Arabidopsis thaliana: one gene and its partners. The protein of the gene in region 3 purifies or fractionates together with the protein of the main gene of each other region. This does not show direct contact. Each region holds a gene or a part of one and is shown on either strand. Other genes may lie near its edges.

Region 1 (11,046 bases), about 11 Mb from region 3:
CATTACTATGAGAGACATAAGCAAGAAACAGAGGAACAACAAAAACCTCTGATTCATATACCTGAGCAATGCATTTACTTAAGCGCTTACTTGACCCTTCCAAGTCATAGCAATAGTATAAACTCAATGGGTTTTGTTCATATCCAACGCTTGGTGGTATTGTCAATAGAAATCTGCACCACGAAAAAATTACAGATTCATCAAAACTACTTCCTCTATCACAATTACAATTTCTGAACTGATAAAGATTCATTCACCTAACAATTTCATTACAAAAACAACCAAACTACACTGTTAGAGAGCAAAACATAACCATAAAACCAAACAGAAACTAAAAAAAACACTCAATTTTGCAAATCTAACTAACTCCTGATCAACAGAATCTTTCAAATCTTGTTTGTTCCTCAAAAACATTACGCATTATAAAGTTTCAGTTCTAGGTATCAAAATCCAGATTCTTCCGATCTTGGACGAGTCAACAAACTTACATTGGCCCGGTGGTACGAGAAACACGGCGAGCTTCGTCGGCGGAGAAATGATCCGGCGGTGTGTTAATAGCTTTGTCGAGGTCAAAGAGTGCGTAACGAACGGAATAACGGAAAGAGTGGCGGACAGGACGGAGACGGTCGTGCCAGACTGTGCCTTCGTAGAAAGAGACATTAGGATCGACGGCGGCGCGTGAAGGAAGGAGACGGTGGAGAAGGAAGCGAAACGGGAGGAGAAGAGAGAAGAAGATGGAAGTGATTGAAGTGTAGATGATTGAACAGAGGAGAAAGAGCAATTCCATATCTCTACCTCTGTCTCTCTATCTCTATCTGATCTTTTTCAAAAATCAGAGATTGACATTGATGACCCTTCAAATGCAGAGGTTTGGTATATTTATGATTTAATGCCACGTTTAACGATAAGTATTAATTTAACGAGTAATTTACTTTTATTATTTTTGAATCTAATAATGCCGTTTTAAAATGCTATAAGTTAGTATTAATTTAGAATTTGTCTCATAGAGGCCATTGTTATCTTCAGTGACAGTATATTATTGTGTTGTGTGGACCCAAAAGCCAAAAAGGATTGTTTTATTTAATGTTGCAACCAGTTATTATCATAGGGTATTTATCGTATAATCGTGGCTGTTGCGTGGACGTTACTAAACCACTGTATATAATATGTATTTGCATATGGATAAATAATTAAATCATCTCTCAAATTTATAAAAATTTGCATTATGAGAATTCACAGAACTAAAACTCGTAGAATGAAAACTGCATACTAGAAAATCAGATAATAATTTTTTTAAAAAAAAATCAGATAATAAAATAAATAACTGCATACATTTGATTGGTAAATTTTTTATAATCGCATTAAAATAATATTTTACCATATATGTGTTACAAATCAGAGTATAAAATATACAAAACAATATATTGGTAGAGACTAGAGAGACTCAATGTAAATGCTTTAGTTACGTTTATATTTCGCTTATGAAAATTTGTTCTTTGTGGAGAAAAAAAAAAGTTCTTTTTTGACGAAAATTTGCTTACTGGATAATACTGATCTATTAATTACTGGGCCAAGACACTTGAGGCCCATCAACTCCTAGATCGGTGGAAACCTCAAATCTCACAGTTAACGTAATTAGGTTGGTCCAGGTGGTTAAGCAAACCCAGTGATAATCCACAAATCATATACGTACACGTGCCAATCCAGTCGTTAAGTAACACGTGTTAAATTAACATTGGTTGTTATACAATAGAGAAGCCACATGAGTTCGATGAAAACAATGTAAACATGTGGATTTGATTGCACAACAACAATACACATAATTTAATTCGATTTCGACAATTTCATTTAATTCTTCGATTTCTCCGCTTGTCACTGTTTCGTATCGCCATTTTCTGTTTGCATACACTTGTATATATTTATATTAACAGTCCAAAATTCTTCGAAATTGTCCCGAGCTTTGAGCATATAAAAAATGTCTTCGATAATCCATGGAGCTGGAGCTGCTACGACGACGTTATCGACGTTTAATTCCGTCGATTCCAAGAAACTCTTCGTTGCTCCTTCTCGCACAAATCTTTCAGGTTCGAATTTTATTTGATGATCGATCTGCATTCTCTGATTTCGATTTCTGGTGTTTTGGAGCTTCTATTGAGATGGATTTGTGAGATCTTAAAGCAGTTTCGTTGTTTGATTTTGATGCAGTGAGGAGCCAGAGATATATAGTGGCTGGATCTGATGCGAGTAAGAAGAGCTTTGGTTCTGGACTTAGAGTTCGTCACTCTCAGAAATTGATTCCAAATGCTGTTGCGGTAATGTCTTTGTCTCCGATTTTGTGATTTTTATGGTTTCTCCTTCTAATCTCTAATGATGTACGTTTTTGTTTTGTAGACGAAGGAGGCGGATACGTCTGCGAGCACTGGGTTTGTTTTGCACCTTTTTAGCTTTGCAAATTCGATTTTGATTTTACTCTTTTGTGCTCATTGAAGGATTTAGACACTGCTTGAACAAATCTCTAATTGGATCTTTCATGTTCTGTTCTAAATGATTAGATTGTTTCAGTAGTTTTATTACATTTTAGTGGGGATTCAAAGTTGGATAACGATGAGGAAGTTTTTAACTATGTGCTATTGGGTGTGGTGATGTAGGATCCTAGCCAGTTCTAGAGTAGTCAAAACACTAATCTATAGTTGATAGTGATGGCAAAAGCTTAATGTGTTGCATGTCTGCTTCCAGTAATCATTCTAGTGATGCCTTTGGTTGTGCTTATGATGCCAAATGTTTAGGTTAAACCGTTAAACCATTTAGTTCATTCCCATGAACATAGTTTAACTCTCAAGAACATTTCTGGACATCATACGGCAATTGGTTAGGCTTCTGTTACATATTATGCGACTTTCCATTTAGTGAATGTTTCTGTTAGGGGTTTGTGTGTTGTCTTCATTTTCACATAAGCAATCCATGATGATGTCACCATGGCATTTTCTTTCATGTATTAGTCGTCACAAATAGCACATTTTCTTTATCTACCTTTAAACTTCCATGCTCATATTCAATATAAGTGTCATGATGATGCCTTTTTTTTGTCAAAAATACAAAGTGTGACCAATCTTCTCGTATGAATTTACAGACATGAACTATTGCTTTTCGAGGCTCTTCAGGAAGGTCTGGAAGAAGAGATGGACAGAGATCCACATGTATGTGTTATGGGTGAAGATGTTGGCCATTACGGAGGTTCCTACAAGGTAACCAAAGGCCTTGCTGATAAATTTGGTGACCTCAGGGTTCTCGACACTCCTATTTGTGAAAATGCATTCACCGGTATGGGCATTGGAGCTGCCATGACTGGTCTAAGACCCGTTATTGAAGGTATGAACATGGGTTTCCTCCTCCTCGCCTTCAACCAAATCTCCAACAACTGTGGAATGCTTCACTACACATCCGGTGGTCAGTTTACGATCCCGGTTGTCATCCGTGGACCTGGTGGAGTGGGACGCCAGCTTGGTGCTGAGCATTCACAGAGGTTAGAATCTTACTTTCAGTCCATCCCTGGGATCCAGATGGTTGCTTGCTCAACTCCTTACAACGCCAAAGGGTTGATGAAAGCCGCAATAAGAAGCGAGAACCCTGTGATTCTGTTCGAACACGTGCTGCTTTACAATCTCAAGGAGAAAATCCCGGATGAAGATTACGTCTGTAACCTTGAAGAAGCTGAGATGGTCAGACCTGGCGAGCACATTACCATCCTCACTTACTCGCGAATGAGGTACCATGTGATGCAGGCAGCAAAAACTCTGGTGAACAAAGGGTATGACCCCGAGGTTATCGACATCAGGTCACTGAAACCGTTCGACCTTCACACAATTGGAAACTCGGTGAAGAAAACACATCGGGTTTTGATCGTGGAGGAGTGTATGAGAACCGGTGGGATTGGGGCAAGTCTTACAGCTGCCATCAACGAGAACTTTCATGACTACTTAGATGCTCCGGTGATGTGTTTATCTTCTCAAGACGTTCCTACACCTTACGCTGGTACACTGGAGGAGTGGACCGTGGTTCAACCGGCTCAGATCGTGACCGCTGTCGAGCAGCTTTGCCAGTAAATTCATATTTATCCGATGAACCATTATTTATCATTTACCTCTCCATTTCCTTTCTCTGTAGCTTAGTTCTTAAAGAATTTGTCTAAGATGGTTTGTTTTTGTTAAAGTTTGTCTCCTTTGTTGTGTCTTTTAATATGGTTTGTAACTCAGAATGTTTGTTTGTTAATTTTATCTCCCACTTTCTTTTATTTAGACCCTTAGAATTTTCTTTACACTTTATATGTGTTCATGGTGCTAGTTACAATAAATTTTAACCTGAGAATTTTCTTTACACTTATTATAAACACATACACAACTCATTTCCTTCTGAATCCAGACAACGACTTTATTACAATGACCCCCATGTTAAAATAAAACAAAAAAACTTTCTACGTACCAATAACCAATTTACAAAAATGAAAGTAAAAAACCCCTAGAGAAAGCTTTTGCATTCCAAAAGGGTTCTACTAAAAAGAACCGCCCAAAAAAAGAAAAACAACAGTTAACAAAAAAAATAAAAAGACAAACATTGGTTCTTGGTATCTTATATCACCACTTGGCTGATTTACATTTAGCAGCTCTTCCTGTGTCGTTTAAGAACGAACCAAAAGTCTTGATGACTTCTTCATAGGTTGGCCTTTTGTAATCCACTGCTTGCTCTACCACTTCTTCTGGCTTCGCCCATTTCCACTCCGCAAACTCTGAATCCGCTTCGTTGTTCGCTAGATTGATCTCTTTCTCGTCCTCATCGTTCCTCAGTCTCACTAAATACCTGTAGGAATTATTAAGTTTCAGAACAATGAGCCACATTCTTTGCTTTCACGAAATTAAGTAGTATCGAAGGGCTTACCATTTCTGAGCTTGACCATGCCATTCACCGCCCCAAAGACGGTTAACTTTTGCTTTTACTGCTGGTGGAAAATCATATGTCAACCAATTTGGGACCTGTTTAGACATTAAAGAACCCACATTAGTAAATATATCCTCTGATTCATATCGGTTCGCGCAAGTGTTAACTTAAATGTTAGCGACCTCAGAGACGATTTCAGCTGAAACAACACCAGTTTCTTCTTGTAACTCTCTCATGGCTGCTGACTTTGGATCCTCCCCATCTTCAATGCCTCCCTGTAATATCCTCAGTTTAGTGAGCTATTCAAACTCAGAGATAAATGCAAAGCAGAGAAAACAGTCTCTAGACTCTTTGACTACTTCGAAAATGTTGATTACTTCACCAATCTAGAAAATATTCTCTATCAAATTCTTGACCATGTTTTCATTAGAGTGGTGTTAAACATTAGTAATTTGCTACGTTTTCTCTAAACAACAAAAGTTACAACACCATGAATATTTTGAATCATTGGCTTTTTGGCCAATAAAAGGACATAGAAACAGAGAAAAAAATATCGAAAACTCGCAAAACTTTATGTCATAGTGAGTGAATAAAACACACCTGTGGCATCTGCCATGCTCCTGGAACATTCAATCTAGAAGCTACAAATACCTGTGAATGATAATCATGGTCAATAAACTGAGTACTATTATTACCAGTGGCAAATTAAAAACAGTAATTAATCAAAGAGCTTAACTAAATGATGAAAATGTTACCAGATTATCCGAGTTGATTAGACAAACACCAACATTGGGACGATAACCAGGTGGTAGATTCTCCATTTTTCTGAAACAAATCACCACTTAACCATTATTTAACAGAAGAAAAAGATAATTACAAGAATTGTTTTGGTATCATTATTGTTGGTTTACTGTTTTTAAGTACTTTGCAAAACCAAAAATGTTTTTGTTTCTTCACTCTTTGGCTTATTTATAAGCAGATGATGTAGTTTTGACAGATTCTCCTAAAAAGCAAAACCTAACTACTCTATTGTCTGAATTTGGATCGAGGAAAACAAACTAGAAACTATCATGTTCAAGTTTCTATTCACTAATCAAAGACAGAAACATCCAGAAATGTTTGCAATTCCACTCTTAAGTCTACTTTCAAATCAAAAGAATAATTTTAACTAAATAAAAGAGTCAAGAATCATAATCAGAGTTGGTCAATTCCCAGTAATCAAAAGTCAAAACACAGAATTAGATAACAAACACATAGAAACAAATCAAGAACATACAGATCTGAGAAACAAAAACGAGAAAGCATCGAAAGAAGGAACAAACCTTATTTATTTGTTATCTTTGACTTTGCAAAAAGCAAGAAACAAAAGAAAAGTTTTTAACCCAACGAAGCAGCAACGAAGAACATGTGTGTGTGTGTGTGTTTTCTTTCAAACACAAAGCACACGTATAAATCTTTTACATTAATATATATACAGAATTGGATTCGGTCTAGAACGATGACGTTTCGTAATATCAGCTCTGACTATTTGGCATCTTATTCTAACTGTTTGTATTGGGCCGGGCCCACCGACGACTTATTTTAACATAAATCCAGTTGCCACGTGTATAATATAATGTCGAGACAAACATAAATTAAAAGGTATTTTTGGTTTTTGGTGTGTGATAATTAATAGACGCTTAATTACAGTTTTTTTTGTCAACGTTTTTTTTTTGTTTTTTTATACTTATATGACCTGGTTGTAATTTTCAAATTAGTTGACAAAATTTGTTTTAACTTCTAATGTAAAATTAGTTGACTTTGAGGAGGAATAATATTAGTTCCAAATTAGAAAAACATGTATTTGCTAAAAAGAAAAGTTGTATTTGACGGAGGAAAAAGTGTGATGTCATTGACACTTTGTGATAAGGACAACAACAAAAGAATACATTAAGCAAGTTGGCAAAAAAGAAGCAATCTCTAAAGAACAAGATTTAGAAAATTATAAGGTAATGATAAAAAAAAAAAGGATGACGGCGCACGTTAATGAGATGAGGTGGAAATTAAGTTAGCACCAAGGAATGTAGGCGCACGATAGAGGAGAAAAGGTAGGGGATGGAGTCAATGAGTGGACAGAGAGACGAACGTGCGGTGGTGGGGAAGCCAGGGAGTTGACTTAATAGTGAATTAATGATTATTTTATTTTTATGTTTGTCTTTTTTTTTGTCATTATTATTTACGACAAAAAATGTATTATTATAAATTTGTCTTTGCACTCAATCACGGATCATGAATAAATCTGCCACCATCTCTCTCTGTTTTTTTTTTTATTGATCAAATGGAACCAAATTGATCAATCATGTTTCAACTTTCCCTCTAGGTAACACTACCCTAATTTATCTTTAAAAAGTAAAACTAGTTCATTCTTCCTAGAATACTAGAATCATTGTTTGGAGACCAGCGACTGATTTTCGATCAGCGACTTCTCTTTGAAGACCACCACACTTGTTAGTTTCTACATAAATGAAAACATTCATCAATGAAAATTTACCATCTTCTAGAGTTTCAAGCTTTTCCGTTGGTTATTCCTACAAAGAAATATGTGGATAATCATGTTGAATCCAATTTTAAGTGCATATGAGTGCGTAAACTATCATTGATGCGAGAGAACTTCAAAAATGATCAAGAATCCACCACTTGTGGTAAAAGAGGATTGAAATGCAACATGCAGTTTAAAACTAGTTCCGCCAAAAGATCATCATTAACGAGAAAAATTTATACTTTAAACTTGATTTCTTCCACCACATCAATATATTAGATTTTGAATCAAAGAACACATAAGTATTTACTCAGCCTAAAAACCAGACAAATCCATAAGTCTATAGTTATCACTTTAAAATTTATGGTATAAAAAGTACTCCGAGTGGGGATACTAATCCAGATTAATTCCCAGAGCTATGGCCAATAATTTATAACTGTCCAATAATGGATGTTAGCCTTGCTAGGTTATTTTTAATCGCCATTAAAACGTTTTGGGCCCTAAAAGGCCCATTAAACACATGATATATTTGTCGTTGAGGGCATGTGCTCCCCAATACGTCTTTCAAAGTTTATGTTTTTGTTCTCCTGCCCGTTTTTTGGCATGATTTGGTACTCTAGGCCATATCATATGTGACCCAACTCGTTCAGTTTTTGTTCTTTTATTGATATGAAATATTCAACAATAATCCAACTAATGAAATAAAATAAAACTATTGGTAATTATTTTCAAAAATTAAATGATTAAGTGGGAAATAAACTTTTATAAAATATCATGCGAGAGGCTTCTAAAATAATGTATTAGTCATTATGATATGTAGTATATCTAGGTACTAGCGATTGGTTCGCATTATGTACCTCAACTAGATTTTAACCCGCGGTACACCGCGGGGACAATTTATCTTTTTAAAGTTAGTATAATTTTTTTTTTGCAAATTGTATCTATCTATAATATATTTTTATTTTATAGTTTACAATTGTTATTAAGTAACGTCCTGCCAAACCCGTCCCGCCAAACCCGTCCCGTAAAAAAACCATTTATTTATATTAATGTTGATCTTATTTATGATATGCTTATAAATCATTGTCTATATATTTTTGTCGATGCGGGACGTTGAACCCACACATTTTTTGCCAATTGGTTAATATATGTTCATTTTTAAAATTTTGAATCATAAAATATGACGGAAAAAATTAAAAAAATTTTAAACTCTATATATTATATAATGATGTTAAAAATTGTGATATATCAAAAATTTTATAAGTTTAAATATTAGTAATGTTTTATAAATTTTAAATATATAAATAATAATATTTAAAAAATTAATATGTTTGCTTATAAGGCAAAAAACTTTATTTTAAAATATTGTTAACAAATATGTTTATGCTAATTTAAGGGATTGATTTGAAGTTTGTTGGGATTAAATTTGATTGATAATGTGATTGACAATTTAAATAAAAAATTTAAAGTAAAATTAATTATTTTGGAAAAAAAATTTAATGCTAATGGCATTAGATCGTAAATAAGTCCAAGACCAGGATTTATTTGCTAAAATGGCTGCAAAAATGTATATATAGATTAAAATTGCATCGAGAACTAATTTCCCACATTTTAGACATTCTCTAGAGCGTGGTGATATGTATTTTCTTATATATTTTCAGATTTTTAATTGAATTTAAAATTTTTTAGATATACTCTGCATAATACATTTTCTTAAACCATGGAAATTTTAGGATTTTTTGATCCATAATTTTTTAGTATCCGAAGCGAACCTTTATTCTATTCATATTTAAAGACTGTCACTCTGTCACAAAGAAAAATAACCCTTGTAATCTCACTAGGCAATTACGATTACTTTGTGTAGAGTAAGTTGCTTTTATGTTTTTGGTATATGTGAAAATAAGGTTATTTATGGTTTTCTAGGCCAAAATTTGAAGAATTTTATCTCTGATCAACAGGGGAAAGAACTTTGAGCTTTGTCATTGGCTTTGGAAAAGAAAACATTTGTACGTCCGCAGTTTTGTTTCGTTCGTTTGATTCTCCAACAAAACGAGTTGTTCCCTTTTGTTTTTATTCATGGTCGTTATTCGTTCGCTCTTATGTAACATTTGAAGTTTGAACTGCTATATTATATCTCTCGAAAAATGATTCCAACTTTTGACTCAAGCTAGACTAAAGTCACAAACATATCACCAAATTTGAGTTTACATTCATGTCGACATACCTTTTTTTTCTTTAATAACGTATATACCATCTAAATTTAATAGGATCCCTTTGTTTTATAGTAAATACCATTTAGCATTTTTACTCATAAATTACAAAAATATTGTTTTGACATTTCAGTAATGCTTTTGAGCAATATTTGAGTCGTATATCTGTTATTTCACTTATAATTAGAAAAATCAAATTATGTAGTGTATTAATAAGAAATGTAGTAAAATTTCTAATAATGTTTTGGTATTATCTATGGAAAACCTTATTAGAACAATAATCATAGCAAAATGGTAAGACTATAAAACTTTTTTTGTATATAGAGAAAAGTGAAGAATAAGTTTGAAGGAAATGGGGAACAGACGTGAGACCAGGGGGGAGATGGTTAATAGAGAATATGCTCTGAGTCTGAGACCTCACATTTAATTTCCTGCCACGAGAACGCATCCCATGCGCCACATATATAACTAAATCTTCTATTTTTTAAAACTCAATTTTTAATCATTAATTTATTTTGAATTTTCTGTTCGATTTATAAAATTATACTATAATAGTAAGGGTGTTTATATATTAGTATGATCTCAAAACGTACACGTAGTACTGGTGCTTATATGAAACCCTAGCTTGCAATTAAAAATACATAAATGTGTGTCTCTTCTTCGTTCATAGAAGACAGTGAGAGCTTCATAGCCCGACCTTTACGCAAGGGCCAAACCGCAAAATCTTTCGTATCTTAATTTGTATTATTTGTTGTCATATTTCTGACATATCGTTTTACAAACAAGTGAGTATTCTATGTCAACAACGTATGTCTAGATGTTTGTCGACCTAAACTTTTGTTGGGGTAATCATTTATCATGCGCAGAATTTCAAAACTAATCGAAATTTCCACTCGTAAAAAAAAAAAAACCATAAGTAAATTGAAAAGAAATACTTTTTAACTTTGATCTAATATATACATTTAGAGCACAACCATTTTTGCGAAATCGTTTTATAGTGTATAAATTGATAACTAATGTAATGGAATAATACTTAAATCTTTCTTTCAACGAGTTTATATTTTGGAGTTCGAATCTAAGAACGTAAACTCAAACACGTGAACTAATGGTGCCCAATATTTCTAAAATTCCTAATTTATAGTATAGTATATAAAAGAGACTATACTAGAATTATGCTAATCTGTTGTTTGATAAAATATTTAATCATATGACGAACATATGATGGTTATTTCAAAATACAATGTTAGTTACATTGGATGTTTGAATCAATAATAAACTGCATTATTAGCTTTTGTTTTATTCGTTATTTTTTTCTGAAATATTTTAAAATTGTTGTCGTGTTGATCCAGGAGAAACTCAAGTTCCCAGGATATTGGAAGTCTAGAT
Region 2 (10,847 bases), on a different chromosome or scaffold from region 3:
AAAAATAAAATAACATTTTTAAAGAATTCATCCTATAATTCTTTTGGGGTTATTAGATAAAATACTGGACTCGTGCCTCATCAGATAACATAGATTTATCATAAACGATAAACCTGTTTGTGAAATTTTCAAAAATTGGATTCCATTTATTTTGGTATTATTGCCATCTTAATACGTTTCAAGCGAACTAAAAAAATGTTAACTACTAGATTTTAATCCGCGGTGTACCGCGGAGACAATTCATTTTTTAAAATTAATATATATAAAAATTTATAAATTATTTTATAGTTTATCATTGTTACTAAGTAACGTCCTGCCAAACCCGTCCACAAAAAAAAACTATTTATTTTATTAATGTTGATCTTATTTATAATATGTTTATGAATCATTGTTAAAATATTTTAGTCGTTGCGGGACGTTGAACCCACACATTTTTCGCCAATTGGTTAATATATGTTCATTCTTAAAATTTCGAATCACAAAATATGACGAATTTGTTTTTGAGATTTTTTTAAACTCTATATATTAAATAATGATATTAATTATTTTTGATAGATTAAACTTTTTATAAATTCAAATATTAATAATGTTTTATGAAGTTTAAATATACGAATAATATTATTTAAAAAATAATATTTTTTACCTTTTAGATAATGATATATTAACTCTAAAAGCAAAAATTTAGAAGATTTAAATTTTTAAATAAATATTTTCATTCCTAAATAATTAATGTCAGTAGCATGACATTGTAAATAAGTTGAAATACATGATTTGTTTATTTAAACAAAAAACGTTTAGTAAGAACAATATTTATTTAAACAAAAAATTTTGTTTTAAAATATTGTTAATAAAATACGTTTGTGCTAATTTTAAGGGATTGATGTGAAGTTTGTTTGAATTAAATTTGATTGATAATGTGATTGACAATTTAAATTAAAAATTTAAAGTAAAATTAATTATTTTGGAACAAAGATTTAATGCTAATGACATTGAATTGTAAATAAGTCCAACTCTAGGATTTATTTGTTAAAATGACTGTAAAAATGTATACATAGATGGGTAGAGTATAAATTTTATGATTAAAAGTTACATTCAAATTTCAAAACCATACTTAATTCTAAAAAAACAACACTTATAGTTTATAAGCAGCTCTTATGATAAAAATCTTTCTGAGTTATAGCTCTGTTAAACTTGTATTCACCCCAAAAACGGATGTTTCATTTCTTATTTTTTACTTGGAGTATTTTATTGTAATTTGTAAAAAAAAATGTAAAGTGGGGGATATCATGAAAAACAACGTCACTTTGTTTGGTCACAATATACATTTGATAAAATAATGGTCGTCGCGTGATTTAGTTGATTTTTGTTTTATCAACCACGTGTTTCACTTGATGAGTAGTTTATATAGTTAACATGATTCGGCCACTTCAGATTTGGGTTTGCCCACATATGACATACCGACATAGAAGGTTAAATCCACGTGGGAAATGCCAATATTCAATGTTTGGTTTTCAAAAGAGAATCATTTCTTTATATGATCTCAAAAGTATGGAATTGAAATGACTAATGAGCACATGCAATTGGTGCTATCTTAAAAACCGAACGTCTTTGAATTTAATTTGTTTTTCACCAAAGGTACCTAATGAAACCCTTTCATTAAAAAATAAAGGTAACAAACAAAATTTTGTATTGGAAAAAACATTTTTTGGAATATATAATTTGGTAATAGAATTATGAGCAAAAAAGAAAAAGAAAAGAAAGAATAATGAGCATAATAAAGCCTTTACAGTATTACTAATTGGGCCGAGCAGTTTTGGGCTCTTGATCATGTCTAGTAATCTTAAACAGACGATAAAGTTAACTGCAATTTAGTTGGTTCAGGTGAGCTACCAAATCCAAAAATACGCAGATTAGGTTCACCGTACCGGAACAAACCGGATTTATCAAAATCCTTAAGTTATACGAAATCACGCTTTTCCTTCGATTTCTCCGCTCTTCTCCACTCTTCTTCTCTGTTCTATCGCAGACATTTTTGTTTATATGCATACATAATAATAATACACTCTTGTCAGGATTTTTGATTCTCTCTTTGGTTTTCTCGGAAAAATGTCTGCGATACTCCAAGGAGCTGGAGCTGCAACGGCTCTCTCGCCGTTTAATTCTATCGATTCCAACAAACTCGTTGCTCCTTCTCGCTCTTCTCTTTCAGGTTCGATTTCAAATTTGTGGAATGATCTGTTTCGGCGATTAAATTGCTTGATTTGGTAAGATCTTAGGAGTTTTTATGGGGTTTTTGATGTAGTGAGGAGCAAGAGATACATTGTTGCCGGATCTGATAGTAAAAGCTTTGGTTCTAGCCTCGTAGCTCGTCGCTCTGAGCCGTTGATACCAAATGCTGTTACGGTATTTGTTTAATCTTAGTTTTTGATATCGTATTAAGAATTTACAATGGATCTTTGATGGGGCTTTCGATTTCTGTAGACGAAGGCGGACACTGCTGCGAGCTCTACTTCATCAAAGCCTGGGTATGTTCTGCATCCTTTGTTACTTAACTTCTTATGCTAATGGTTTCATGCATCGATTTTACTAATTTTGAACTCTTGATCATTATCATGGCTGTTAATTGGAAGAAAAAGTTCTCTCTAGTTTGGTAGTTAATTGTGATTGGCATTGCTCATCTATAGTGCATTAGATCTATGATACTGCTTCTGCTTGATTGAATCTTGTGTTTTATTAGTAGTAGTTCATGTGAGGTTACGTATAATTTGTATCTACATCCTCAAAGCCTACAAATTCAAGCGTATGCATTTTCACTTATGCATCCATTGTTCCAAGTAGCACATTTCTTGCTCTTATCTCTGTATGTTCTGTGAGATATAAAACCTACTTCCATGTAAGGTTTATGCCTTTTGCCACAGCATAAGCATAACTAAATTTAACTTGTGCAGACATGAGCTATTACTTTTCGAGGCTCTTCAAGAAGGTCTAGAAGAAGAGATGGACAGAGATCCACATGTATGTGTCATGGGTGAAGATGTAGGCCATTACGGAGGCTCATACAAAGTAACTAAAGGCCTAGCTGATAAGTTTGGCGATCTCAGGGTTCTGGACACTCCAATCTGTGAAAACGCCTTCACCGGTATGGGCATTGGAGCCGCCATGACAGGACTAAGACCCGTCATCGAAGGTATGAACATGGGGTTTCTACTCTTAGCCTTCAACCAAATCTCCAACAACTGTGGTATGCTTCACTATACATCCGGTGGTCAATTCACTATCCCGGTTGTTATCCGTGGGCCTGGAGGTGTGGGCCGGCAGCTCGGAGCCGAGCATTCCCAGCGTCTCGAGTCTTACTTCCAGTCAATCCCTGGGATCCAGATGGTGGCTTGCTCAACACCTTACAACGCTAAAGGATTGATGAAAGCGGCGATAAGAAGTGAGAATCCTGTGATTCTGTTTGAACACGTTCTGCTCTATAACCTCAAGGAGAGTATTCCGGATGAAGAATACATATGTAATCTGGAAGAAGCAGAAATGGTCAGACCCGGTGAACACATCACGATACTGACGTATTCAAGGATGAGGTACTAAATCACAACCAAAAGCTCTTCTTCATTGAAATTGAAACAACACAGAACTAATAGAGTACTTGTATCAGGTACCATGTAATGCAGGCTGCAAAGACGCTGGTGAACAAAGGGTATGATCCAGAGGTTATCGACATAAGGTCGTTGAAGCCGTTTGATCTCTACACAATTGGAAACTCGGTGAAGAAGACACACCGGGTTTTGATTGTGGAGGAATGTATGAGAACGGGAGGAATCGGAGCCAGTTTGACGGCTGCAATAAACGAGAACTTTCATGATTACTTAGATGCTCCGGTGATGTGTTTGTCTTCTCAGGATGTCCCAACTCCTTACGCCGGTACATTGGAAGAATGGACGGTTGTTCAGCCAGCTCAGATCGTCACTGCCGTCGAACAACTTTGCCAGTAATTGCTTTTTTTACGGTGATTGTGTTTTACCCTTTTTTACTTTTTGTTACTGTTTGTCTTCGATGGAAAATGCTTGTGAAATGAAAACTCTGAATTTTACTCTTATGATATGAACATTTATATTTTCTATAGATAATAACTTCCATATTCACATACACTACTTTTTTTCTTCAGAAAATGATCGTATTACAACATTGTACAAAACCAAAAACCTTCTGGAACATTATTAGTTGATAATAACAAATCGTAATAGCGGTTTCACCACTTACTCATTTTACATCAGAAGAACATAAATCAATAAAAATACTAATCATTAGGTAACAAAATTGTCATAATTCGTGCCGACGAAAAAAGAATATACTCAAAAGAACAGTGGGGCATAATTGACATTTTCTCAATCTCCTCCATAATTGTGGTGAAGAGTCAAGCAAATGCGTGAATACAGAGTCGGAGGCATCTGAGAAAGAGAGAAAGAGAGATCTCAATGGCGGCGATAACAAGCGCGGTGATAGCAATAGCCGGAATAATCTTGGGATGGATAACGATAGAGTTAGCTTGTAAGCCTTGCCTGGAGTCGGGCCGTGAAGCCATCGACAGATCTCTCAATCCCGATTACGATCCTGATGACCAAGACGTCGACTCATCTTCCGATGTTCGTGCTCCTCTCATCCCTAATCATCCTCCCGATAATTCCGATCCTGATCCCACCACCGCGATCAAGTCCGTCTGATCGATCTTGAGTTTTGTTTGTTGATTTGCTATCCTTTTGTAAAAGTTTGCCAATTTCAGTTGATTTGTGGTTGATTTGTGGTCGTTTTATTGAAAGCTTGTGTTTTTGTTCTTATTGCAAAGTTATAATTAAGAAACAAGACGAGATTTAGCCATATGAGTAAGGTTCTTGTTTTTGGGGACGAATTGTGTATCTCTTCTTTGATCAGCACGAAATAGCTTCCTTCTTGTTTACACATCAACCATGCCTTCAAATTTTGCTTATCTATGACTCAAACATACATAATCTACTCCGTATCAAATTTAGGTATTTGAAGTTTTAAGTTTCAGATGGTTATTTGTTGTAGTAGTAGCCAAGTAACTTTGGACGCTGAGTTTTTGTTTAATCGACAAAGAACTCAAAAACTACAAATCAGTTCAGTGACGAAGAACTTGGAAACTGTAAAATCGACTTAATGGGCTTAGTAGTATTTGACTCTAAATGTTATGGGCCTTAAATAACGGTGCCTATAATAGTTGAGTTGACTCTGCTTATTCAGTTATTCCAATCTCCCAGAGTTGAAAATTCAAATTCTCTCTCTCTAGCTATGGCGCTTTCTTCAGCTTTCAAGGAGAGGCTCGATCAAATGGAGTTCACCAGAAACCAACGACTCAATCTTCTCCAGGTATCGATCAATTTAGAATCCTAGCTTCTCTTCGTTCCACTGCATCATCGAGTTTCAATGTCGCTAGTATGTAAATGTGAGAATCGCTATATCCATGTGCTAATCGAGATCTCTGGTTTGATGAACTATTGCTCTAATTCAATTCGAAATCAAGAGAATTATCTAAAAACAGATCATTATCATATTCTGCATCAATTTATCGATCATCACTATAACAGTATTTTTCAATTTGAAATTTCTGAATCCAAATTGTTGATCGTTTTCTGGTTCTGTTTGATTATAATGTTTGAGTAGGCGGAGAAAGAACTACAAGTGAACAAAGCACAGATTTTAGCATCGAAGCACGCAACTATACAATCCATTGAACGCAGATGTTTGATGCTAGAACAGAAAATAGCAGCACAAAACCTGAAGATCACAATTCTCAGATCTAACATCGATGATCTCGACTCCAAATACCACAGCTATATACAACAATTGAGGTTAAATCATTCTTGACTCTTGGTTTGATGATGGTTGTGATGTCATAATAATGTTTTTGATTGGTTTCTGTTGAATGGTATTGGAGAATAGGACACTGAAGATTGAGGTTGAGGAGCTGAAAGAGTTAGATGAAGAGAGGGAGAAGTATTACAAGGTGAAATGTTCAGAGATGAATGAGTTTATGCAAAATGTTGAGAGGTTTAGATCAGAGAACCGGTTACAAATCGAGAACCTGCGAAACCGAATCAAGGAGGTAAAATCACAGTCAAGTGTGTGGTTTTGGATTAAGTAGTGATTTGTAGCATTGTATGCTTTAGTTATGTATTATCAATCTTTGTGTTTCTCAGCTTAACTCAACGTTCGAGGAAAGTCATCAGAAGAACATTTATCTACAGAACATAAATTAAGGTATGATTCTGAATTCCTAATCATCATTTGAAGAGAGATGTAAAAGTATATTGAGCACGGTTGTGGCCTGTGGGAATTACATAGGGAAGGCTTTTATGAGATTACTAAATGATATTATCTTTATAAAAAAAGAGATTAAAATGGATACAGTATTCAAGACATTTTACATCACTAGCCAATTGCAGCCTTTAGATATATTATGAAAAAGAAATTAACTAAAATAATAGATAAATTACAGAAAGAAACAATGTAATAATCATTGTGAGTTGTGACAATAAATATTTGTAATAAAAAAGGATCTCACAAAAAAAAAATTGTTAAAAAAGGAAACACATATGTAAGCAAGATGCCCTATATATTACGGTTTTGGAATAAAATGTTAAAAATAGTTTAATAGATTTGATTCACTAAATACACATGTACATATTTGATGGCATGATGATCAAGAAAGTACCGTAAAATGTTAAACTTCCAATGTTCCTTAGTGAAAAAGGTAAATATGTATTTTTCACAAATGTTAAACTTGTCATTTGTGTGTTTGACAGGACGTGTATATAAGCATAATCTATACCGGAGAAGAAGAAGTCACGAAACAAAGTTAAAAAGAAGAAATTTTTTGGTGTAGTGAATTCGAAGAGCAATATGATGAATATTGGTTACATTTTAACCATCGTGTTTGTTGGTCTCATCCTCATCTCGGCTTTTGTGGCGTGTTTCTATTGCGCCAAACGATTACTCAAATGTTGTGGCGGAGAGGAAGATTCGCCTGCTACTGCTACTGCGTCTACGTCTACCTCTACGTCTTCTGCGTCTGCGTGATCAACTTTTAGTTATTTGTTTTGGTTTGTTTCTTTTTCTTTCAATGATTTTAGATTAGTAACCTAAAGGCATAGCAGATCGATAATGAGACTCGGCAAAATTTTTATCTTTATACCGCTGCTTAATAATTAAGTTTTCACTTATTTAATGATATTGTACCTCTATTCTTGATCTTTCAATGATTTTGTTAAACATTAAAAATTTGCAATGTTATTGTTACATGTTACTTCTATATATATAGAACCAAAACGAAAGCAATACAATACTATGCAAATACATAGTAGAGATAGCAAAATCAACAAATAAAAACATGTAAGAAGAGACATGAGCTCATGAAAAGAATTCAAGACAGATGTACCAAGCCTGCCTAGAGTTCAAGACATGTCATGATGACATGACAACAAATTTGTTAGCTTCTTCTTTAGATCTAGCGCAATTGCAGGGTTTGATAGGAACAAATAACTGATTACTTGTTAGATTCTGGATCTACATACCAAATAAAAGAAATAACTCATTGGCAAACTGTACTTTGAAAACATGTTTTCCATTTTGTCTCCAGCTTACACTCTTCTCACATTAGTCTAGTCAATGTTAACTTGTCATTGGAGCACTGTGGGTGATCATAAAGAGAAAGAAAAAGTGTTCAAGGTCTGCAAAGATAAACATACTTTTTTTCTAGTTTGTGTTTGGTGAACAGCCTTTGTGGTTTTTCCTAAAGGAATTTCAAATGATAAACAGACTACAATGCAAGATGAAGAGTACTGGACTCATGACAACTAACAAGTTGTTTGATAAAAAAAAAAAAAACAAGTTGTTTGATTCTCTCGCTAACTGTTCAAGTTGGAGGTCGAGAGCAGAATCCTATTAGCCTCCAACATTTTTGCAAAATATTAATATAATTCAGTTGAAATTGTTACCTTACAAACAATTCAAAATTTAGGACAAAAATCGAAAACATAGGTTAGTAAGTTTGCCAATTATTTGTTTTTTGATGACGATGGTAATATCACCAAAACGAACCAAGCAAACCAATAAAAACCGAAATTTCCAAATTAATAAGTTAATCGGCGGTTTATCTCCACCGAACAAGAAAAAAAACTAAAACCCTAATTCCAGCGTCGTCTTCGCGCTCTGAGAAAAATCGCAGAGTAGAGACTAGAAGGAGAAGAAGATGAGAGTGAAGAGGCAGAAGAAAAACAGGAGAACCGTGAGATTCTTCACGGTCTGTTACGGATTCCGTCAACCCTACAAAGTCCTTTGCGACGGCACTTTCGTCCACCATCTTGTCACTAATGAGATCACTCCCGCCGACACTGCTGTCTCTGAACTCCTCGGAGGTCCCGTCAAGCTCTTCACCACCAGGTTTATATCTCTTATTGCATCTTCACATTCACGAGCTCATATCAATTTACCAAATTTCTTATTATGCTTTCGTTGGAGCTGTTATGTAGATGTGTGATTGCGGAGTTGGAGAAACTGGGTAAAGATTTTGCGGAATCTCTCGAAGCTGCCCAGACGCTTAATACAGCAACGTAAGCTTCCCTTTTTCTTATTATCTTACTTGAATGTGTGATTGATTAGTAGATTGTGGAAATTTCGAATTTGATTCATAAGGTTTGGAGTTGAGTTTGTAATTGTATTACATCTACGATGAGCTTAATGTACAGAAAATGAGGTTTGTGTAACTGATATGATGAGCTTAATGTGTAGAAAGTGAGGGTTTTTAAGTTCCAAGCTGGATTTTATATAGTGTATATGATGAAATTGATTTGTGTAACTGATATAATGAGGTTAATGTGTAGAAAGTGAGGTTTTTGTTATGTGCCAGACATGAATTTTGTTTGATGTTTGTGTGATTGATTTGCTTCGATTTGAGTTTTTAGATGTGAGCACGAGGAGGCAAAAACAGCAGACGAGTGTTTGTCAGAGGTAATAGGGGTACAAAATACTGAGCATTTCTTCCTTGGTACTCAGGACGCGGAGTTTAGGAGAAAGCTTCAGCAGGTTAGTTTGATGAGCAGAGTTCTTTTGTATCAGAGTATGGATTTACTGTGTGGGTTTTAGAGTTTTTAATACAAAGAATCTATGTGTGTTGTTTCCTCTTTCAGGAGTCTATAGTTCCTCTTGTGTTTGGTCTAAGGAACATACTGCTGATTGATCAACCTTCTGATTTCCAACGTCAGAGTGCCAAAGACTCTGAAAATAAGCGCTTAACTATGACCGATACGGAAAAAAAGTTGTTGGTGAAACGGACTGCGAAAATCATAGCTTCTAATAGAAAAGAAGCAACAATTGCAAATGAAGAATGGGGAATGCCTCGAGTAGTTTCTACAAAAAATGGACTTGGTGTGAAGGATAGACCTCAGTTCAAGCGAAATAGAGCCAAGGTAATGAACAGCTCTCTTTACAACGTTAGTCGTATTTAATTAGTAGCTTCTAGGTAGGGAAATTAATCGTAGTATCATTGTTAGAATCCATTGGTTTTTAGTCTTAGATGAAGTAGCAATGGAGGAGAAACTAACATTGTTGTCTCAAAACTCTGCAGGGTCCAAACCCACTTTCATGCATGAAGAAAAAGAAGGAGAATCCTCAATCCAAATCCAAAGCCGATTCTAACTCTAATGCACAAAAGGTAACATTAGAGACATGGCTCCATTATGTTTACAAGTAAAATGTTCCAGTGTTGACACAAATTCGATATTTGTTTTGGGTTTCCAGGAAAAGAAAGAAGGCGGGAGCGATACACAAAAGAGGTCAAGAAAACGGTCAAAAAAAGGAAAGTCTGGTCCGGAGAGAACCGAGTGAAAACAGTTGTTTTATATATAACACATCTTGAGTCCTTACTTTTTCTACTGCATACAAAAATTTTGGTCACCAATCAGACTAGAGCTTGAGTCTCATTGCTGTTATACTCTCATTTTATTTCAAGCAAAGACGACCCGTGTAACAGAGACTCCCAAATTTAACAGAGACCAAGAAGCCAACTTGAAAAAAACATTCCCCAAAGATATCATACGCTGAAACTGAGTCCCAAGGAACTAGGAGCATTTATTCATAATTTAAGACAGAAAAGTTCATTGAGCATCCGTAATTTGGATGCTTCCATACAAATAATGAGCAAGTTCTAGATGGCATAGATGTATATATTACATCGAATTTACTTGAGAATTTGGCTACCATAATCATCATTGAACTTGTCGTAAAGATGGGCGTGCAGATGAGCCGATGGTCGAGTGTTGCTCAGAGCTCGATCAATGTCTTCTGGCAGGATGGGACCAATTTTTGGCAGCTCTGCAAGACAAAACTAATAATGTCAAAGATTCTGCAGTTTTAAAAGGTAAACTATGCCAATGACGGATTCTTTTTAAAAGAGATATTACCGTCTTCAGGCACAACATCTTCTCTGTCTTCCAAAATAGCCAATGTGCGTCTCAGTGGTTGCATCGCAGCTTCCTTACAAAGTATTCGAATGTCTGAACCAGAGTAGCCCTCAGATTTCTCAACCAACACATCATGAGGCAATGGCTCATCACCTGGTTGTGACGGTATAAGCATCTCGAACATTCCTCTTCTTGCTTCTGGATCCGGTAAAGGTACAAGAATCTAATGGTTTCACTAGTTGAGGCCTAAACAAAAGAAAATCATGATACAAGCATTTTTGTTCTATGAGAGTAAGTAAAAGGATACTCGTTTCTCTAGACGCCGGAGCATAGCTGCATCTAGTTCCCAGGGGAGATTTGTTGCTGCTA
Region 3 (10,274 bases):
TTTAAAAAAGTTAAGAATATATAGTGTGGGTCGACATGTACCTCACTAAGTTTTCTAATTTATAACTTCTATCTTCGAGCATAATTGGGAATTTTGTGGCCACTAATATCGCAAAGAAATGTGTATACTATTATATTTGATGTGAGGACTGAAATTACAAAATTTATTGAATACTAACAGATTATGATAATAATTACCACTAAAATTCTTTGATTTTCTTTTTTATATTTTAATCTTAAATAAATGGATGGATCAAAAGTTCAAAACACTAAACTATAGTACAACATTACTCACGGATTCTATATCACAGCATAAAACTTCACATAATTAAAAAAAGGTTTACATCTCTCGCGGAAATTCTTAGCATATGATTGATTCTTCATCCACCAAGTAAGTTATTAATTTTAGGTTAAACAAAATTCAAAAACTTTCTTAAGAATTTTGTGGGTTATATATACTTCCAGCCTGAATAAAGGTTGAGTAACTTGGTAAATCTTGATCTCCATTATAGTTCTAATTTTGCTTTCTGTTTTTAATTTAAATTTTGGATCAATAAGAAGAGACATGCATGTGTTTCCTGCAAAACTCCGCGCAACATCGAAACTTTCTCTTCTTATTTTCAACATAGATGTAGGGAAAGAGATAATTACTGTTTAGTTTATTCTAATTTACTAGAGGAAAAAGGATTTAGGGAGAAAAGGTAAATTAAATATTCATATTCTTCTTAGATAGATCAACCACTGACAATAATAACAAAGAAGCCACTAATAAATATGCACGATGACTATTTTCTAAATCAAACGTCATATTTGATTCAGATTCGAGAAATGACTGGGAAAAAGAAAACACTTTTGAACAAGATAGACTAATCATAATCAGGTGAGATTTGTGACTTTCACAAAATAATTCTCCATCTTAATTGTTCGCATCTTCATTGGATCCCTTTTACACTTTTTTTTTTTTTCTTTCATTGGATCCATCTAGTTTGCACTACTTATATATGTGGTATATATAAACTTTAATTTTGAAAGTGTAATAAATTTAGAGTGATATCATTTAGCCCCCCGATGGAGGATTGAATTGTCTCGAACTAATGCGTAATGCAACACTATGGTTTTGAATAGTGAAATAGGAAGATGCGAATAAAAAATAGAAACGTATAAACGAAAACAATAGTGTATGTAATTAGGTGAAACCGTGAAAGTGGCGAACGAATCATTAGCATATAAGAAGAAGATTGTGTCCACCCTGAGTTAGATACGAATACTTTATGTGTGAAATCTAATTGTTCACGATTTGACTCTTCAGAGTTTAAAGGCTGGCTAACAAGTTTAAGCTGCGTTTTAGGGTTTGGGCCAATAAATTCAGCAATGAACCGGTTTTAATGGCATTAATAGCCCATAGTGAATGTTGCAATCAAGAAATAGTTATAAAACCATGTACATGGGTGATATTTTTAGATTATCACAAGTACAAAAATTATTTTTATATTAGTAAAGCAATTAGAATATGCTTATCAGTATCAGCCCACTGATATTTGTGATACCAGTATCATCTGACGTGGCTTCTTCTGATTGGTTACATTTGACAAAAGCAAAAAATATTATATATATTTATTAAACAAACATTATAAATAATACTAAAAAATATTCTTGATGATATTTTGTGAGTATCACCTATGAACATGCTCTAAAGATCAATATCTTAAAACAAATTTAGTGATATAATTAATTGAAAAAGTTTGTATTTTCTGGACTGAATCACACTAGGGTTTGTGTGATTTCTGGTGTAAGAAGGTAAAAGGAGGTAGTTATCAGATGGGCCCACTTGAAATCATTTCACTGGGCCTAAACAAATATAAAGCCCATTTATCATTTATGGCCTTTTTCAGTCTCCTCCCGAGATTTAAAACCCTAGTTGGTTGATCTTCTCCAACGGGGAATGGAATCGGAGAGTGACGAAAGTCGTGTGTGGATCCTAAATCCTTATTCGGGTCTCCGAATCGGATCCTCGGAGTTAAGCCTTACAAAATGAAGATGCTAATGGTTCTGTTTTCTTTATTTGGAACCTGAGTATTGCATGCACACCAAGTGTTTGGCAAAATGTTAGAGTGAGACGACAGTTGGGGAGGTTTGACGATTATCTTTCATTTGTAGAGTAGATGAATCGAAGAAGAAGATCGAAAAGAGAATTATACAGGTAGATATAATGGGTGATAAACAAAATCGAGAAGGATATAATATGTAAAGGTTACTTGTCGAAGAAATCAGAAGACATTCATTACACATTGTTTGTGTCCAAGAGATGTCTTTGCAGCAAAAGCAGAACAGTTGGTTTACGACTCACTCTTCTCGATACCTTCTCTGACGATGATTCTGCGACCTTCATATTGCTGCAAAAGAGAGATTGTGATAAAGCCAGAGAGCAGTAGAAGAAGTTTCCTCAAGCAAGATTCTTTTTATGGATAACGAACTTAACTGTTCCATTGAATGATAAAGCCGCATCACGTTCTTCACCGCTTGTAAAAGAAAGAAAGGCAAAGACTCTGTTTCTCCCGGTCTTACGATCATGTAACACTCTCGTGCTTACGATTGTGCCAAACTTGCTAAAGTGGTTTCTCAAACCATCAGGCTGTGTGAACCAAGGGAGATTTCCGACATAGACCTTGTGTTGGCTTTCGTACATCAGAATCTTCTTTGGAGTTGAGTTCAAGACTTCAGGGTTTCTTCTTGTTCCTGGATTCATGTCAACAGAGTACCTAACCCGCATTTCCCGACCACCTACTTCCTTCATATATAGCAACAAAACCAAAGCACTCAACTTTACACTCAACCAGAAGAAAGATAGACTTGTTTTTTGGTTTCCCGGGCTCTTACTGTTCCATCAAGAGAAGCAATGGCGATTTTGGCAGAGTTTATAGAACCCATTGTCACGTACCCGCTTCCACGGCTCTCTCCCGTCTGAGGATTTCGCGATACCTGCAACATCATTTCCAAGCAATGCACACCTCTCACTATACTTGTCAATCATCCATATACTCAAAAGAGTAACCAGTACGTTTGATTCGTCTTGATGGAACTCAAAGCTAAGTATTTTCAAATTACATTGTGGATGATCTTTGAATTTTCAAAGCTAAGTTGAAAGAGTAAAACTTTGAATTTTCATAAAGGCATTGTAGGATCAATCAAATCTGGATAAGAAGTACCACCTCTACAGAGATTACAGTTCCAAAAGGCTGAAACATGTCAAGAAGCTGAGCAATGTCGTAGCTTCTAGGGATATTACACACGTAGAGCTCGCAAGGTCTCGGTTTCTTTACTGGTTCTGCTTTGGAGACGACACTATCTTTATTGGGTTCTGCTTCTCCTTTAACTACTTCTTCTTCTTTTTCTTCATCGAGAACTGATAATTCTGAAGAAGAGACCTTGATTTGAAGTGGTTGAGCTACAAAGGGACGAGAAAGAGAAGAGTGATGAAAAGAATTGGAAGAAGAGAATTGAAGTTTCAGAGATTCTAAGTAAGAGTAAGAAGAAGAAGAGATTAGGGTTTTGTATTTGGGAATTGCATTGTGAGACGATCGAGAAGAAGAAGATAAGGGAATTGCGAAGCAGGAGGCCGCCATTATCGAAGGACCAGAAAGTAAATTATTTGAGAAGAATGATTAAAAAAAAAAGAAATGAAATAGAAATTAATAGAACAAATCGGGTCGGGTCATTTAACCCGTTACAATCCTGCTCGGTATTCGCTACGTCAGATGAGACACTCTCTTTCGCGTAGCAGGTTTTGTTTTTCATGAAATAAACAAAAGGCCCAAAGTTATAAATCAAAAAATAAAAAATTATTCAAACATTTTCATTTCTTCAAGTCTCTTATTCCCTTTACCAAACACTTTAATTACAAAGAAAGTAGGAGCCATGAAATTAGAACCAGTGCAATCTTGTCTAATGGCCCATTCATCCTCAATCTTCATTCTGACCACTACATCTACAACTCCTTGGCTCTGAGGGAAGGTGGTAGTGATAGAATCTGCTATGTTTGAACTCCCTCAGAGGTTTGAAGCTATATTTTGACCCAAATGATCGTTATGCAAACCACAACACTGTCTTCTTTGATCTTACTATGAAGAAGTCTGCAAATCTTGAGGTTTAAAGCTATATTATAAGCAAGCTATGCAGAGATGAAGCAAAGAGGAAAAGAGTTTTCTGTGCTGTGGAAGCTGTATTGGCATGTATTGTTCTTATACGAGATTGTGTGTAATTGGTGGTACTGGCTCCTGTTGCAGAGCCCATCTTGTTTAGAGTGTAATCACCCGAGGTTGCAAAATAATTATCTTTAAAAAAAAAAATACAATTCTCTGGTAAGTGGTAACCAATGAAAACCCAACGAACTACAAGAAGAACCTTGTGATAGTTTAGTAACACCAAACAAAAAGCAAAAAGTGCAAATGATTCAAACTGATTCTCTGTAGCATTTAACTTAATAAGATATATAGAAACATCGAAGAGACAGTAGACAGCTTATGGTTAAACTTGTCTTCTCAGACTTGAGCTGTGCCTTCGGTAAACTTGGGGTCCTCACATCTGTACCGTCCATCAGGTCCAATTCCAAATCCTTTTGGATCAGCAAACACATTCTCTAGCAACTGACTGCGACCGGGCTGTGGACTAGCGTCTGCAAACTCAACCGCTTCCTCCACCAACTCGTCTATCTTTTTCTCTATTGACTTTAGCTCTGCTTCCTTTGCAAGCTTGTTCTCTATCAAATACTTCTTCAATGCTGCGATTGGGTCTCTAGCCGCGTATTTGGCTTTCTCAGCTGCAAAAAAAAATTCAAATTAAAGAGAAGGTTGTTTCAACCCTTAGATAATCAGTACAAGCATCAAGAAGCAGAAGGAAGTCGATATTTACCAGCATCACGGAGCTCATCGGGATCAGCCAAGGAGTGTCCTCTGAATCTATAAGTCTCACATTCAACCAAGGTTGGACCTTCTCCTCTTCTAGCTCTAGTGACAGCTTCTTTAGCGACTTCCCTGACCTTCAAGACATCCATACCGTCAACATGAACACCAGGCATCCCAAATGCAGGACCTTTCTTCCAAATCTCGGGGTCAGAAGTGGCTCTCAAGTGAGACATCCCAATGGCCCACAAGTTATTCTCGACAACAAAGATAATAGGCAGTTTATAGAGAGCAGCCATGTTGAGACACTCGAAGAACTGTCCGTTGTTACAAGTTCCATCTCCGAAAAAGGCGACAGTGACATCATCACAATCCTGTTTCAAGACTTCCCTCCTGTACTTGGAGCTAAAGGCAGCACCAGTGGCGACAGGAATGCCTTCACCAATAAAAGCAAAGCCACCAAGCATGTTGTGTTCTTTGGAGAACATGTGCATGGATCCACCTTGGCCTCTGCAGCATCCAGTAACCTTGCCGAAGAGCTCGCTCATAACAGCACGAGCAGAGACACCTTTGCTGAGGGCATGGACATGGTCACGGTAGGTACTAACGACAGAGTCAGACTTGGTAAGGAGCTTGATAAAGCCAGTAGAAACAGCCTCTTGGCCATTGTACAAGTGAACAAAACCAAACATCTTGCCTCGGTAATACATTTGAGCACACATGTCTTCGAAAGATCTACCTAGTATCATATCTTCATACAACTCCAATCCTTCCTCTTTGGTTATCAACTATTTCAAATTACTTAAATCAATACAACAAATCTCACAACTTGTAAAATTCCAAAAGAAGGAGACGAGGAGAGGAAGCGTACCAGGCTGGTATTATTGGTGGATTGCTTCTCCTTGACAACTTCCTGGACAGAGACGACGGGAGATCGACGGGTGGCGTTGGAGTGATTGAGTCTGCGAAGGGAGAGGGAACGGGTGGATCCGAGGAAAGAAGAAGGAGGAGCCAATCGGATCGGGAGCAAGAGACGATTCTCATGGGATCCATGCAGAGGAACCGTGGCAGTGAGCTTAGTGGGAGCGAAAGCCGTCGCCATTGCTATCAATGGAAACCCCAATGAGATTAACGGAATTCGGAAAAAAAAAAAAAAAACTTTCTGGGAAAATAAAAGAGAGCAGAGATGGGCGGAGAGAACAAGAGATGAGAGGCAGAGGAGGCAGACGATCCCGGCTCTAAATACTTATATATATTTTTATTTGTTTGTTCGAAAAATATTTAATCAATTTTGGACCCACCCTTCTTCGTTAACACCAATGTTTTTTTCTTTCTTTTCATTTCATCTCTTAATTTCAAGATCCGATCTACAAATATAATCCTTGTTAAGTATGCTCAACATAATTTATTTTCTTCTTTAACTCGAATTGGTTAATCAATAGTGGAATCATCAAATTAACAAAATGATCTGAACAAATTCAGGTGAATAACCATAAAATTCTAACCATTTAGAAATATGGCTTTTCAATTGAGTTTTAAGAATAGATCCGTTTTCTTTAAGATTTGTATATAATCCCATAAATCTTTTGTTATCAGGTAGAGCTATAGATGCAACTACTTTTGACTCTAAAAGAAAGAAAATTGAATTTAAAACCTAATTCCTACCGTTACTACTAAATTATTATGAAACATATTTAATCCTCTAAACAACATTTTTTGGTTTTCCTATTTCTCTTACGAAAAATCCCATTACTTTTTTATCGTATTTATCCTTATCTCAATTTCATCAAATGGAATGTATGACAATAGACGTACAAATGTTATGAAGACGCTGCTGGGTAAGAAGAAGAACAAACACTAACATGTTCCGATAATAAAGGCATTGGGCCGGCCTAACATTACTGCAAAAGCCAATTTTATTAAAGACCTATATTTGATGACAATTCTAAATATTGTATGACCGGATTTAACATTTATGGTTTGACGTTTTCGAAATTAAAGACCTATATTTGATGAACGAAGACTTGGTAGAAAATAAACAAAATCAATTCTAACAAAAGCCCGAGCCGATTGGTTTGCTAGGAAACTTGAGTTATACAACATACGCATCATAAACCAACTAATAGTCCTTTAGCCAGATCAAACAAGTAATAATAACTCATACGACAAAATATAGTCTCCAATATCCAACTACAAAGAAGAAAGACAAGTGACTGCGTTTAGTCAAACAAACCGAAACCCAAATCTCCGTCACTCTCTTCTGCTGGCTCATCCTGCAATACCAAAATGAGATCAATTTTATATCACTTATTAGTTAGAAGAATGATTTCGTCTATCGTTGCTATTTCATTTACCTTCTTCTTCTCCTCAGCAGCAGGAGCAGCTGCCGCACCACCGCCAGCAGCTGGAGCAGCAGCTGCAACCGGAGCACCACCTCCACCACCAGCACCAACGTTCATGATGAGATCAGTCACGTTACGTTTCTCAGCCATCTTGGCGAATAGCATTGGCCAGTATGACTCAATACTAACACCAGCAGCTTTCACCAAGGTCGCGATTTTGTCAGCCTATCAACGACATAAACAAACACAAGTAAAGATCTTTACCCAATTCAAAACACATTTAGACAGATACATAAAATACTTGTTCAATTCCTGACCAAATAATACTATACCAAATCCTTATCACTCCATAAGAATCATTTTCACTAAGTTTCTAACTATCAAGTCAAAAGAAACGGTTCCAAAACCCTACTGACTAAAGCAAAGAGACCAATCAAGATTTAGAAATAGACAAGCAGGAGTCAAAGGAAAGATACCGTGATAGCGATACCCTCGTCCTCGAGGATCATAACAGCGTAGCTGCAAGCAAGCTCTCCAACTGTCGACATTTTTTTATCCTGAAACGATTCAAAAACAGTAACAATAGATTAATTGCTTATTCACAAAAAAACAAACTTTAAATCCGTTTTAAACCAAAATTAGAGTAAGTCGAACAACCCAGACGATGATGAAATGCCAATAACAAGTATAAACGGATCAAATGGAGAATCATAGACTACCTAAGAGTAAGATCGAAAATGCTTTTCGCAAGGCGGCGAGAGAGACAAAATTTCTAGGGTTTGGATGCGGAGACGGGAGATGCAGAGTTTATAAAGCTTTTATCCAATTATTTGATGGGCCGCATAAATATTCGCTAGGCCCATTTTTTAATTTTACATATATTTGTTTTCAGTATTGGGCCTTCAAACCTAATAGCCGTGAATAAATAAAAGATAAGAGCCCAAATTAAGAGATTTGACTTTGACCAGAAATTGTTGGTTGGTTTCTAGGGAACGACCACCGTGGTCCATCATGCATGTGACAGCACGAGCTTGGTCAAGCAATACTTGATGGATGTCCTTTTCGCACTAGTAACATAATTCTTCATTTGACATATTTATAGTCTTCAATAAACATATCATATGCGATCCAATATATTTTCATTTTTTCTTGTACATTCGTCTTGGTCCAAAAATCACGAGTTTGATTAGTTCTTTAACCCCAAACTTCACAAAATCATGTAGTTGTAGACACCAAGTTTGATTATATTTGTCAATTAATAAAAAAAATGATTTATACAATTTGTTTAGAATCTCGATAAATACTTGTTCATCCTACTACCATTCCAACCAACTTTATATAATAGTAGTAAAAATTACGCATGCGCTAAGCCAAATATTGGCATTTAGTAGAATAACAGAAAAAAAATAAATAAAAATGTAGATTATGGAGCTAAAACAACGTGCAATCTCTCTCCTTATCTAGTCTACGTATATTGTCCCGCACGGTATATAATCAATATGGACCCAAAAACGAATATATTCATGTTAATATCGATGCCAACAAAATAAATTAATAATACTATGTATTTGGTGAAAAGATAAAATTTATTAAAGAGAAAGAAACACAGTTATTGGTGTCGTGGTTGCAGTAAAAGAGGTGGTCAGACTCAGAGCAACTTCTTACAAAGCAACCAAAGGTTATCTGTACTTTCTGTTTCTCTCTCACTCCTTATTTCTGAAAAAAAAATCTACAGCTAAATACCTAAATCTCAACTTCACGGAACACCGATACATAAAGACAATAGAGTGGTAATAATTTGTTGAGACCAAAAGTAATTAAACACATTACACATGGGGAAAAAGAACGGCTCTTCTTCTTGGCTCACCGCTGTAAAGCGAGCTTTCCGATCTCCGACGAAGAAAGATCATAGTAATGACGTCGAAGAAGATGAAGAAAAGGTTTCTTATTCTTAGATCTTATTATTTGCTTACTATATTCAAAGTATGATTATTGGTTTTCATTTTTCTCTGTTTTTTTAAAAAAAGAAGAGAGAGAAGAGACGGTGGTTTAGAAAACCGGCGACTCAAGAATCTCCGGTGAAGTCTTCCGGTATCTCTCCACCAGCACCTCAGGAAGATTCACTTAACGTAAACTCAAAACCCTCTCCGGAGACAGCACCGAGTTACGCAACTACGACGCCGCCATCCAACGCCGGTAAACCCCCGTCCGCCGTAGTCCCCATCGCCACGTCAGCATCTAAGACACTCGCACCGAGGCGGATTTATTACGCAAGAGAAAATTACGCTGCTGTTGTCATCCAGACTTCTTTCAGAGGATATTTGGTGAGCAATTATTAATGACCTATATTTTTACTTTCATTTTTTTAACCAACTTGACTTCTAGACCACTTTTTAGTGACAATGATGTGTGTCTATGTCTATAAAATTAACATTGCTTATACAAGATCTACCATTTAAAAGATTGGGATTTCATTTAGATAATTTTTTTTTGGGTCTTGATATAAGTTTTGTTCTTTCTAATTTGGTAAGGCAAGAAGAGCATTAAGAGCATTAAAAGGGTTAGTGAAGCTACAAGCATTGGTGAGGGGACATAATGTGAGAAAGCAAGCTAAAATGACATTAAGGTGTATGCAAGCTCTGGTTCGAGTCCAGTCTCGTGTGCTTGACCAACGCAAACGCTTGTCTCATGACGGTAGTCGCAAATCCGCGTTCAGTGACTCTCACGCTGTTTTTGAATCTCGCTATCTTCAAGATTTGTCAGATCGACAATCCATGGTTAGTATAGCCTCCTAGGCCTTGCCTAAACTATAGCATAATCAATTGATATGTTTTTTAGTTATAGACATGTTTTGCTTTTTAGTTTATTCATAAGGTTAAGCTGTTTTTAGCATGCCTATCTAGTTCAAATGGTGCATTCACATAGGTGTGCCTTGATTATTTCTTTACTCTTAGGTATACATATTTTGTATATTTTTCAATCTTTAAGCAATTCTGTTTTTGTTAATTGTAAATTGCGTTTGTAATTTCATATGG

The links.
Region 1: the proteins of PDH-E1 ALPHA (region 3) and PDH-E1 BETA fractionate together in Arabidopsis thaliana (co-fractionation; one large-scale study listed by BioGRID). This does not show direct contact.
Region 2: the proteins of PDH-E1 ALPHA (region 3) and AT2G34590 fractionate together in Arabidopsis thaliana (co-fractionation; one large-scale study listed by BioGRID). This does not show direct contact.

Annotation. Positions count from the first base shown.
Region 1 is NC_003070.9:10,577,407-10,588,452, reverse strand, and holds PDH-E1 BETA (pyruvate dehydrogenase E1 beta), read left to right. Parts: upstream 1-1,772; 5' UTR 1,773-1,975; coding exon 1,976-2,084; intron 2,085-2,205; coding exon 2,206-2,312; intron 2,313-2,391; coding exon 2,392-2,423; intron 2,424-3,130; coding exon 3,131-4,103; 3' UTR 4,104-4,348; downstream 4,349-11,046. Other genes in the region: AT1G30130 (DUF1365 family protein), read right to left, coding at 62-173, 489-787; NUDX25 (nudix hydrolase homolog 25), read right to left, coding at 4,632-4,854, 4,933-5,027, 5,115-5,207, 5,533-5,583, 5,688-5,753. UniProt on the Arabidopsis thaliana protein: The pyruvate dehydrogenase complex catalyzes the overall conversion of pyruvate to acetyl-CoA and CO(2).
Region 2 is NC_003071.7:14,562,104-14,572,950, reverse strand, and holds AT2G34590 (Transketolase family protein), read left to right. Parts: upstream 1-1,807; 5' UTR 1,808-2,106; coding exon 2,107-2,209; intron 2,210-2,302; coding exon 2,303-2,403; intron 2,404-2,481; coding exon 2,482-2,525; intron 2,526-2,948; coding exon 2,949-3,584; intron 3,585-3,658; coding exon 3,659-3,995; 3' UTR 3,996-4,149; downstream 4,150-10,847. Other genes in the region: AT2G34585 (uncharacterized protein), read left to right, coding at 4,479-4,724; AT2G34580 (cytomegalovirus UL139 protein), read left to right, coding at 5,311-5,388, 5,683-5,870, 5,962-6,124, 6,219-6,278; MEE21 (PIN domain-like family protein), read left to right, coding at 8,270-8,460, 8,550-8,630, 8,982-9,102, 9,207-9,485, 9,644-9,730, 9,817-9,903; CCP1 (P-loop containing nucleoside triphosphate hydrolases superfamily protein), read right to left, coding at 10,256-10,389, 10,479-10,701, 10,786-10,847. UniProt on the Arabidopsis thaliana protein: The pyruvate dehydrogenase complex catalyzes the overall conversion of pyruvate to acetyl-CoA and CO(2).
Region 3 is NC_003070.9:43,168-53,441, forward strand, and holds PDH-E1 ALPHA (pyruvate dehydrogenase E1 alpha), read right to left. Parts: upstream 6,138-10,274; 5' UTR 6,000-6,137; coding exon 5,769-5,999; intron 5,686-5,768; coding exon 4,908-5,685; intron 4,816-4,907; coding exon 4,538-4,815; 3' UTR 4,067-4,537; downstream 1-4,066. Other genes in the region: AT1G01080 (RNA-binding (RRM/RBD/RNP motifs) family protein), read right to left, coding at 2,336-2,392, 2,479-2,787, 2,877-2,978, 3,206-3,622; AT1G01100 (60S acidic ribosomal protein family), read right to left, coding at 7,117-7,170, 7,252-7,464, 7,716-7,787; IQD18 (IQ-domain 18), read left to right, coding at 9,072-9,179, 9,267-9,563, 9,771-10,016. UniProt on the Arabidopsis thaliana protein: The pyruvate dehydrogenase complex catalyzes the overall conversion of pyruvate to acetyl-CoA and CO(2).